3 linked regions of the Coturnix japonica genome follow. The protein of the gene in region 2 interacts with the protein of the main gene of each other region in a pairwise test. Links are inferred from orthologs where the notes say so. Each region holds a gene or a part of one and is shown on either strand. Other genes may lie near its edges. The genes, in order: ADIPOR1, APPL1 and FSHR.

Evidence for each region.
Region 1: the proteins of APPL1 (region 2) and ADIPOR1 interact in binary tests that used the Homo sapiens proteins (3 or more experiments, as listed by UniProt). The link is inferred for Coturnix japonica from reciprocal best matches to the Homo sapiens genes APPL1 and ADIPOR1.
Region 3: the proteins of APPL1 (region 2) and FSHR interact in a two-hybrid assay, tested with the Homo sapiens proteins (2 studies listed by BioGRID). The link is inferred for Coturnix japonica from reciprocal best matches to the Homo sapiens genes APPL1 and FSHR.

Annotation. Positions count from the first base shown.
Region 1 is NC_029541.1:1,478,749-1,482,440, reverse strand, and holds the start of ADIPOR1 (adiponectin receptor protein 1), read right to left. Parts: upstream 2,896-3,692; 5' UTR 2,789-2,895; intron 2,703-2,788; 5' UTR 2,669-2,702; coding exon 2,522-2,668; intron 1,904-2,521; coding exon 1,787-1,903; intron 1,286-1,786; coding exon 1,114-1,285; intron 355-1,113; coding exon 168-354; intron 1-167. UniProt on the Homo sapiens protein: Receptor for ADIPOQ, an essential hormone secreted by adipocytes that regulates glucose and lipid metabolism. Required for normal glucose and fat homeostasis and for maintaining a normal body weight.
Region 2 is NC_029527.1:6,340,593-6,344,058, forward strand, and holds part of APPL1 (DCC-interacting protein 13-alpha), read left to right. Parts: coding exon 1-111; intron 112-368; coding exon 369-419; intron 420-772; coding exon 773-862; intron 863-907; exon of another isoform or gene 908-1,428; coding exon 1,429-1,578; 3' UTR 1,579-3,466. UniProt on the Homo sapiens protein: Multifunctional adapter protein that binds to various membrane receptors, nuclear factors and signaling proteins to regulate many processes, such as cell proliferation, immune response, endosomal trafficking and cell metabolism.
Region 3 is NC_029518.1:9,165,385-9,169,035, reverse strand, and holds the end of FSHR (follicle-stimulating hormone receptor), read right to left. Parts: intron 2,400-3,651; coding exon 1,172-2,399; 3' UTR 340-1,171; downstream 1-339. UniProt on the Homo sapiens protein: G protein-coupled receptor for follitropin, the follicle-stimulating hormone. Through cAMP production activates the downstream PI3K-AKT and ERK1/ERK2 signaling pathways.

The sequences.
Region 1 (3,692 bases), on a different chromosome or scaffold from region 2:
CTGCTGCCAGATGCTGAGATACAGGACAGAGCCATCCCAGACCCTGCTCCTTCTGAGCCCCACACTGCTCCCTTCCCCTGAGAACAAAACCTCAGTGAATGCAGCACTCAGAGGGGAAGTGCTGTGAGAAGTCAGAACATCCCGAGACCGCAGCGGTGCTGACTCACTTGGAAAAAGTCCGTGAGACCTTCTCTGAGTGACAGTAGACAGTGTGGAAAAGCCAGGAGAAGCTGAGGCACAGCACCGCCCCGAGGAAGAACATCCCGAACACAACCTTCTCCTGGAGAGGAGCCATGAAGTACATGTTGGGCCGCAGCATGGTCAGGATCCCCAGGCAGAGGAACAACACAAAACCTGCAGTATATACACAGCAAACGGGAAGTCAGACAGAGGAACATCCAGCATCGACAGAGGGAACACAACAGATGGAGGATCCCTGAGACAGGCTGAGAACGCTGGCAGCAGCACAGGGAAGGTGGTAAGGGATACAGGGGGGGGAAGAGGCCAGCATGGCAGGCACAGAATCAATGCCTGGGGGTCTCTGCCTTACAAACATGATGCCTCCTTAGTAGAGCAAAGAGCCAGGAGAATCACAGAGGCTGCACACATCCTGGCTTTCAAGGAGAGGTTTTATGAGACACTGTTTTGCCCAGGACACATTTCTCCATCCCAGGAGCAGAAACAGCTGACCTACAAGTGCTGTGCAGTGGGAGCAGTCTGGCCACAGCACAGCCAGCACCTGAAAACCCTGAGCCTCTGAGTCCCCATGCAGGCCAGAACTCTGTAGAATGTCCCAATCCATGTCCAAATGGGGCCATTGGCTCTTGAAAAGCATAAATGACACCACTGAGCTCAGGTCTCAGTGCTGCTGTGAGGGACTGTCCCTATTCTCCCTTCACTCTGAAGCCCAGGAGCTCCCAGCCTCCAGCAACTGAGCTGCCTCCACGTGCAGAACCAGAGGGGTACGTGATCCTAAAAGGAAGGCGGTGGGCATCAAGTAAATCCCTTGGAGCAAACCTGTCCTTCAGAGGCCACCCCTTGCCTCAAGCATGGGGGCACAGCACACCTCCAGCCCTACAGAAGCTCTGAACAACCACACACCCCCCCCCTCACCTAGCAAGTGAGTCCAGATGTTGCCTGTCTCGGTGTGTATTCGGAAGATGCTCTTGAAGCAGGCTCGGAAGGACGGCATCGGAGGTCGGTGCCCGTGCAGGAGGTAATCGTTGTCCTTCAGCCAGTCGGGCAGCACATCGTAAGGGATCACACGCCAGCGCCCTTCCCATACCTGCAACAAACCAACTCGTGTTGGTGGCCACCAGGGCTGGCAGCAGCAGTGATACAGCCCAAAGGTTCAAGCTGAATCACCCTGGGAGCTCAAACTGCAGGTCTTGCCTACAGAAAAGGCCCCAAAACTCTCCTCTGGGAGAGGAACTTTGGCTTTCACAACACCCCGTGGAATCCCTTACACCACCCACATCCTGCGCTGCACTTCCACATCCCCTAAGGAGCTGCAGACAATGGGCAGCGTTTAACCCTTCAGCACACCGAGTCTGCTCCCAGCACTGGAGGATTCCCTTTAGCTTTAGTCCTAAAATGAAGCCTGGCTGACAGAACCGTGCAGGGCCTCATGTATTGCCAAACATGGTGACCACGAGCACCAGGTCTGAGCAGTGGCACCCAGCAGCATTTCAGCTCCCAGGCACTGACAATGAAGCTGCTGCTGCTCCTGAAGCCCAGCAGAGCTGAGCACAACCTCCAAAGGAGGGATCCCACGAAGCTCCCATACCTTATACACAAACTCCTCCATCTTCTCCATGGCGTGATGAGCCTGCAGGGGCAGAGTCAGCACACGGACCACCTCCTCCTCTTCCTCACGGGCCACCGGGCACGGCGGGTCTTCAGCCTGGACACAGAAACAACCCCAGAGGGAGAAAGAAACCCCAGAGGGAACCATGGGGGGCACAGGGACCCAGAGAGCAGCCGGGGCTCCATCCCATCCCATGGGGTCGCCCAGGACCCACCGCTCCCCATCACTTATATAACTGGCTCCAGCCTCAACCCCGTCAGGCTAATCCCGGCTTGATCCCGGTTTCAAGGTGGTTTTACAACGAGGGATTTTCATCCTTCCAACCAAACTAAAGGAGACCCCAGGGCTCAGCCTGGAGCCCCCCGGGGCACATTGAACGGCCATTAGCAGCGTCATGAGCTACGATCCGTTTGGGGCCCAAACCCTCGGGGCACAAACCGATCCCGGTTGGATTAACGGAGAATCACGGCACCGTTAAAGCTGGAAACGACCTCCCGGATCCCCCCATCCCGATCCGGTCCCTCCGCCGTTCCGAAGCATCCAATATATCCCCGTTATTGGGCACAGCGGCTCCTAACGCCCCAACCGGGCACATATGGGACACATACCGGACACATACCGGACCATACCGGTCTCATCCCGGTCACCCCGCCCGTCCTTTACCGATCCCGTCGTTAACCGGTCACACCGCCCCCCCCCGTTCCCGCTCCTTACGCTGCCGTTCCCGGCCGTTCCCCGCTCTCCCTTCTCGTCCAGCAGCGGCCCCAGCTCCGCCAGCTCCATGTGGGCCCGCTCCCTCCCGGTTGCCGTCAGCCCGTTGCCCTGAACGGCGGCGGCGGCGGCGGCTTTCCGGGACGCCATAACGGCGGAGACGATCGTGGGCTCCGTCCGCGTCCTGAGGAGGAAGAACGGAGTGAACGACACCGGAACCGACCCGACACCGGAACCGGCCCCGCGTCCCGGAGCGGCACCGACACTCACCGGCCGCTACATCCCGCGCTGGGCGGCGGCGGCGGCACCGGAAGCGACGCTGAGGGAACGGGCCGCTTCCGGCCTCCAAGCCCCGCCCCCACTGGGGTCTTGCAGAACTCGCGCTATGATTGGCTGGAGCTGCTGCCTGTCTCTCTCCTCTCCCACACAGCCGCCCGCTGCGATTGGCTGAGCCTCACAGCTGGTGGGAGACGCTCTAGCGTGGTGGTGCCGTCTCTCTGGTCGCGTCCTCTGCTGCCCCCTGCAGGCGGGGAGTGGAATTGCACGGGGTGCGCAGCGCCGGGGGGGCGCACCGGGAGGCACGGAGCGCGGTGCTGTCACCGCATCGACACGGCATGGACCGGACACACCGGCCTCGTCCTCCCGTCCCCTGTCCGTCTGTCCCCCGTCCCGCTCTCTGTCCATCCCAGCGTTATCCGAGCTCCCAAAGGCGTCGAGTCCTCCCCCGCCATGTGCGGGCAGCCATCACCGATGCCCACGTTGCCCTCGGTGCCGGCTCGTCTTTCCGTCCAGCTTTAATTACCCCCGGTGTCTCCCCGCTGCCGGATCCGGTTCCCATCAATGATTCATACCGGGCTGTAGGACGGGGTTCCTCAGGCTCCACGCTGGGACCGGGGGGGATTTTCCGACCTTTCTGGCATTAAATCGGTGCAGACGGTGGTTGGAGCTGAGCACCGTGTCCCCCCGGGGTGAGTGATGGGGCTTTGGGGGGGCAGAGGCAGCATGGAGCTGTGGGGTGTCGCCTAATGGGGGTCAGGAGCCCATCGGGGTGTGGGGAGGGGCAGAATCCCTTCCATGTGTGTATCCCGGCTCCCTGTGGCTGCTGCCCCATGGATGGAGCGCTCCGTTCCACCCCACAGCTGATCCAGGAGCACGGGATGCTCTGCCGGTCCCT
Region 2 (3,466 bases):
CAGGAGAATAAGCGCCTCTTTGGATTTGTGCTTAGAACTTCAGGAGGGAGAGCTGACAGTCGACAAACTTCCATCTGCTATATCTTTGAATCAAATAATGAAGGGGAAAAGGTATTGGTGATGGTTATATTTGTATCCATTTTCTGATTCCAGTCGTTTTCTGACATGGATTCTAAGGTGTTAGTTCCATTCAGGCTGTCTATGGGATTTGTATGGGAGAGTTTATGTACTGAAAACAAGTTAATCCAATAGCTGAAGTAACTGTAAAATGCTTTAGCACACTATCGTACCTGATGTGGGAACGTGGCATGCTTTTAAAGGCATTTGTTAGATTCTTACAGACGATTTCAAATTTGATTTCTATTTAGATTTGTGACTCCGTTGGACTGGCAAAACAGATTGCTTTCCATGCAGAACTGGTAAGAATCTGTTTAGGGCACAGTATCCTTGTGAATGGAAGGGAGAAGGCATATTTAGAGTCTGTAATATTCTGTATTCTGCAGGATGCTTATAGATGCAGTAATGCTGTTGTGGAGAACTCAAAAGGATTTGTTTTATAGAATTTGAATCCAAGATAAAAAGATCTTCACCAGTATCTACCCTGGCACAATGCTCAAGATTGGAATCCACTCTGTACCTTTAACAAACATACCTGTCCATTAAAAGAAGCATAAATCAGGTGTCCCAGAAGTTTTGAACAAACTCAGATAAGCCCACAGCACACCAAGCCCACTGGGCAGTTGTTTCTTTTACTGTTATTTTTGCCCTTCAGGATCGAAAAGCATCAGAAAAGCAAAAAGAAATGGAGAGAGTCAAAGAGAAACAACAAAAAGAACTGACTAAACAAAAACAAATTGAAAAGGTATGCTCTGTTATTTTTAATACTATTTTTTGTTTTGATTTTTTTCCTATTTAGTCACTTTGTTTTGTAGCTTTGTAGTTCCAGCTGCAATATCACATTCTTTAGAACAAACAAACAGAGTATTGTGAAACCAAGTTATTGAAGTATTTTCTGTGCAAGTCCTGTATAATTTTGTATTTTAGTTCTTCAAAAGAGCTTTTCTGAGGAGATAAACAACAAAACTTCTTCATAGGGGGTATTTAAGAGCAGTGCTTGAAGGAACACCTATCGCAGACTGTCCCATACATGGCTGCAAGAAAACATCAGCCAGGCACTGACGCAATTCAATTGGAGATTGGAGCCTGCAGGGAGCAGGCTGTAGGCCAAGCTGTTAGTTCTGACCTGCTGTATTGTATGGATTACCACTAATAGAGGCGTTAAACATGTAAACTCTCCTACTGATGTCAGCTTTTGAAACCCAAATGTCCAAATCTTATTAGTAGTATTCTGTTTCTACCTTATGGAGCTTTAACTTGAGCATTATTTTTCTGATTTCCTTCCCTTTCCTCCCTCCTTTCTCTAATCAGGACTTAGAGGAGCAAAGCCGACTGATAGCTGCCTCCAACAGATCAAACCCAAGCAGTGGAGAAGGACAGTTTGTCGTCCTCAGCAGCAGCCAGTCAGAAGACAGCGATTTAGGAGAGGATGGAAAGAAGAAAAGGGAATCTGAAACCTAAGGTTGCCTAGTTCATTAAAATTGGAATCATGGATCTAAGTAAGGTCTACAAGAAGCGAAATCTAGGTGGAGGGTCTGTTGTATTATATAAAGACTTCACAATGTCTAGACCCTAATATGCCTTGCTGTTTCTTTCTCAATTAAGCGATTACCACTTTCATGTCAGTTTCAGTTCTCTTTTGTATGCCACATAGACATGGTAGCATCACCATTCTTTTTCTCAAAATTAGGTTTTCTCAAAGAATTCTCTGCAGGAAGGGAAAAAGATGGATTTTTCTTTTTTCCATTTGCCCATCTGTGCAATTGACTGCTTTGGAAACGAAACGTAAGTTCTCACTGAACTTGAGTAGTACTGCAATTTGTTCATTACACTGCAGCGTGTAGAACACCTTGCTGGAAACAAAAGGGAGTGTCCAGATAAGACAGTATGAAACAAAATCTGCACTGTGTGGTACCGTCTTTTTTTTGGGGGGTGAGGGGGATTCAAATGCAGAAGGTTTCCTTGAACAGGAGATAGAAATAAAAGACTGCGCTATTCTGCATCCTATAGTCAGTCTCCTAATGCATTTTTCAAAGCAGTCTCTGTTTATACCTCATAAGCCTGAACTCCATGGCCCATACCCTGTGTAATATTTATTTTGTATAATACTAAATGTGCATTCATCTTTTGATCCAGATGAGAAAACGTGTTTGAAGTAAGAAGAAATATTTATTTTTGCACTAATTACTATAAATACTAAACTCCAATGGAACAGATGTCTCTCTAATAGTGGCCTGAGCATAACAGAAAATGTAGAAAGAGAAGAGTATATTCTAAGATGTTTTATAACGGTTAAGAGTGTTTTACAGTTCATTGCAGAACATTTCTAGTCTTTGGCTTTCAGCCCAGCCCTTCATAGCTAGAATTGCATGGTGCTGGTTAAGTGAGGGATTTCAGGACCTCTGTGCTAGATGGCTGTAGATGCATAAAAGGAACACTGTCCTTAATTGCATAGAAGTTGTTTTGCGTAGGCTAACAAAGGCAACCTCCTTCTGCTTTTTATGCTGGAGATAGATAGGCATTTCTATGCAGCAACCAACTGCATCTGCCTCCTGTCACAGGAGAGAAAAGGGAGCATTGCTCTCACGGTGCCACTGACACCACAGCATAAAGAAGGGATCTAACACCTGTGGAAGTGCTCACAGTATTTGAAAGAGGAGGTGGAGTGGGAGACTGAGCAAGAGAGAGGCTCCAGGTTCTCTTCCTTCTGTTTCAGCCCGTTCATCCTCAGAGCAGCCAGTAGCTTGCAGAAGTACCTGCTTTTGCTGTTATCCAGTCAGGCCATGTGGCATCAGCCTGCGACCAGATGTTGCCTTGTAGTGTCACATGGACCATACACATCTAAGGCTTTAAAAACAAACAACAAAAAACAAAAACTTAAGTGGCATTTACTTCCTGTCTGGTCTTGTAACCTCATCTGTAAGAGGCTACTTTCATTCTTTTCAACAGAAACGTACAGAAAGGCAGCAAATGCTTTTCTTTCCTTTTCCTGCCTATATCCAGTTGCGTGGCAGCCAGTTTATCTCTACAAGTTGCTTCAGTTTATGTTTCCTTCTCTTGGATATTTTTTTTAATGTAATGATTTCTACTTTCTATGAAACAACACGCCAGCACAGCCCAGATTTATAAAATCAGTGAGGTTGAAAAGATGACTAATATCATCCAGTCCAACCTTTAACCTCCAAACTTACTGTGTCCTCCTCAAGTACACACAAAGATAAATTAATTCAGCAACAGCAAAGAAAATATTAAATCGGTGGTCCTCAGTTCCAAGAATCTGGTCACCTATACCACGTCTGTCAGAGTGAGATGAGCTGCAGTGGGCACAGCACCAAGAGGAGGACAGCTA
Region 3 (3,651 bases), on a different chromosome or scaffold from region 2:
CATCAGGCAAGTCTCATTCATAGGTCACTGCAACCCAATTGTGGAGGCTGCACTGCATAAATGGAACTCTCCAGATAAGCAGTAACATTAATTGCTTACTTCATCAGCATATCTCTGACCGTACAGTTGTTCTCAAGGCACTTTGTTTTGATATTGGTTTTATTAAAATGGATTTCAGAATGGAAAATGCAAAATAGTTTAAAGATTACACACATAAAACACACTGTTCAGTGCTGAGGAGAAACCAGGAGGCTTTTTGGGCATTGCAGGTATGAATAAAATGTATCTTGCATTTTTTTCTTACACTGCTTTTTTTCAGTTAAAAAAATGTATCTTGCATTTTTTTCTTACACTGCTTTTTTTCAGTTAAAAACAAAACAAAAACCAACCACGAACAGCTACCTTGAAAGCAGCTATAAATGGATCAGTGTCCCATGAAGGGATGGTACAGGCCTACAGTGCCTCTTACACTCTCAAAGAGTACCCATTGGCTCACCTTGCCCCACTCCAGGGATCCAGCCCTGCAAAAGCAGTTTCAACCCAACTTTATTAAACCGCATTGAAAAATAATTGTTATGAAGGATTCCTTCTGCTCTTGTTTTTCCTCTCTCGTTTTCTAAAACAGAACTTAAGCTGAACAAAACTGTTAGAAATTCATATGAAATCTGATCCTTTGGGCCCACCTATCTCGATCAACGCAGTCGTAGGGCGCATTAAACTGGGCTTCTGTCTCCTGTAATCTCAGAAGACATGGTTAATATTATTTGCCATTGTTCCAACACATTTTACAGACAACAGAAGTAATTCTACTTTTTTTTTTTCCTCCTCCTTTTTGACCACATATAACTATTACTTCATTCTCAATAAGCATCTGACATCTTCCTAGACTGAGGGGATTCTCTGCCTGTATAGTAGGAGATATGCATTTGTAAGCTCATTTATTTCTGGACACAATTCTACAAGGACACTTTGACGTATATTGCAGTCTCATTCTTTGTCCTTCAAGAACTAATGAAGATTATGTGTCATCTATGAGGACGAACAAAAAAGCAAAGTGGAAATAGAAATGTTTTCTCATAAAAAAATACGTTTGCATGCTATGTTGAAGTCATTATTCAAATAGTTGAAAGTGATTATCACACTGCCTCAGACACAAATTCATGCAAGCATTTCAGTTCAAGTGATTCAGAGGAACCAGTGAATAAATAGTCCCATCACTGTTTTTTGATGCATTAGGGTAATGGCCATTTCTTGTGTGGAAATTATGAGCAGATGAGGAAGTCTCTGTTCTGTAAATCTGGGCTTGCATTTCACAGCAACCAAACTTGCTCAACAGAATGAAGAAATCCCTGCGAAAAGTCTTCGTGAAAATGGCATAGAGGAAAGGGTTAGCGCAGGAATTAATGGGGTAAAACAAAACCAAAAGGATCTTGGATTTGGACACCGTGATGAGAGGAACCCTGAGTGAAGCTGATATTGCAAAAAAAGATATTGGTGCCATGCAGAGGAAGTCTGTGAAGATCAATATAGCCATGCGCTTGGCAATTTTGGTGTCACTGTTTGAAGAGATAACATTGGGGTTTCTCACAGTAAAGTAGATGCAGATGTAGCAGATGCAGATGATCACAAAGGCGAGTACATTCAACACTAGAAGAAATATAACATAAGCCTGAGAAAATGGTGTTTCTATGTGCATGGGCAAACAGATGCTGACCTTCATGTAGCTGCTGATGCCAAATATGGGAAGAAGTGCCACTGTGAAAGCAAACATCCAGCCAAAAATCATTACAACCACAGCATGCCGAAGTCGAACCTTGCGGTTAAGTTGCATGGCATATGTAATAGTATGCCACCTTTCCAGAGTTATCACAGTCAGCGTGTAGACCGAGAGCTCACTTGCAAAAACAGTAAAAAATCCTGCAGCGTTGCATCCTGCCCCAGTTTGCCAGTCTATGGCATAGTTGTAATACTGGCTTTTGGTCTGGATATCCACTGATGCAATAAACAACAGATAGATACCTATGCAGAGATCTGCAAATGCAAGATTGCACATTAGAAAGCGAGGTACAGTGAGTTTGTATTGACTGCTTATTAAAATAATTAGGACAGTGGTGTTCCCAGTGATAGCTAGAATGTTGATAAACCATATCAAAACTCTCAGAACATTGTGTCCCATGATATCTTCACAGGGGTTGAAGGCATCAGGTTTGGGTGAGCAAGCCACAATGACGACTTCATTGCACAAGCCATAGTCAAATTCGTTCTCTGCAGGGCCAAAACGTGTGCCATAATGGGAAATGTAATCTTCAGCTGCAGATCGTCTGCGTTTCTTTTTGCCAGTCTGTTCAGCGAGGTCTTGCTTAGCCTGAGATATGCCACATATTGGGTATAATTCCGTGCTGAAATTGTTAAAAAACAAAAACATACAGAAAAAGCAGAGTTGTAAACTAAGAGACACAGCATGAGGCTCACAACAAACACAGAATCACACTGTTTACGTCAGCAGTTCGGTTCTTCTGGTTAGCTGATTGTAAAGGTTTGCCTGGAACTTGAAAGCAATGGATTGATAGGTCCCTATTTATATAACATTACATGATACTGTAAATTAATTTCAAACATAAAACATATGGGAATGAAATCCTGGTGATTGCCTTACTAGCAATCTTGAGGCAGTTATCCACCTGGACAGAGTAAGAAGCCTCCCTTATTTCAGCTCTATTTCTCACATATTTCTCTGTCACTGGGAAGGTGATTCTACATGGGGAAAACACATGATGTCCTACATAACACCAGACTCTGAAGAATCAATTCAGTGTGGCCTATAAGGAAAGGAGCCTGAATCACTCCCCTGTTCATCAGTATTACTTCCTTTTTTTCCTGAAGTTTTTGGCAGTCAATGTGTCGTACTGAAAACCAAAATTCCTTCAGGGCACAGAGCATCTGCAGTGTGTGCCATTCATTTTGAGTATATCTAATATCATATTTGTCACTGGCCATTAAAGCAAATAAATAGCATGAAGCGAGCAGGGCTTCCAGATAATCTCTGAAAGACAGATACCATCACAGATAACAGTAGTAGACTTGGCAGAATATTTTGCTTCAACCACATTTCTCAAGGAAAGTGAAGTGAAAGGAAGGAGTGAAGGGAAGCCTTAGCTTCCACAACCACTGTTAGAATGGTTTGGGTTTTTTTTTTAATGTTTTGAGAATTTTCAGTGGGAAAAAATGGAAAAGTTTCAAGAAATTTTTTTTCTTCGATTGTCTTTATTATTATTATAATTGTTTTAATTTAGTTACTTTGTGTTTGGCTTTATTTTCTAGAGGATTCATTTGGAACCCTTCTTCTCCATGTGTAGACCGAGGGAAGACACAAATGTTTTGTCTGAGATCAGATCCATTGAGGTAAGAAATAAAGGCCTTAAATAACTGTTTCTTGTAGAACATCAAAGTTTTGCTGTTCCAGAAACTTACAGCCATAGGTTTGCATAAAGGTAGATCCGAACTTGATTTGAATTCTCAAATAAAACAGTTGACAATGTGTTGCAAAGCAAACACAGTTCTGCTCTGCCTACTTTCACTTACTGTTTAGACAGTAAATTTGGTGTCTGTTTTCCAGCACAGGACCACAGCTTATCTCCCATCTTGACTGGA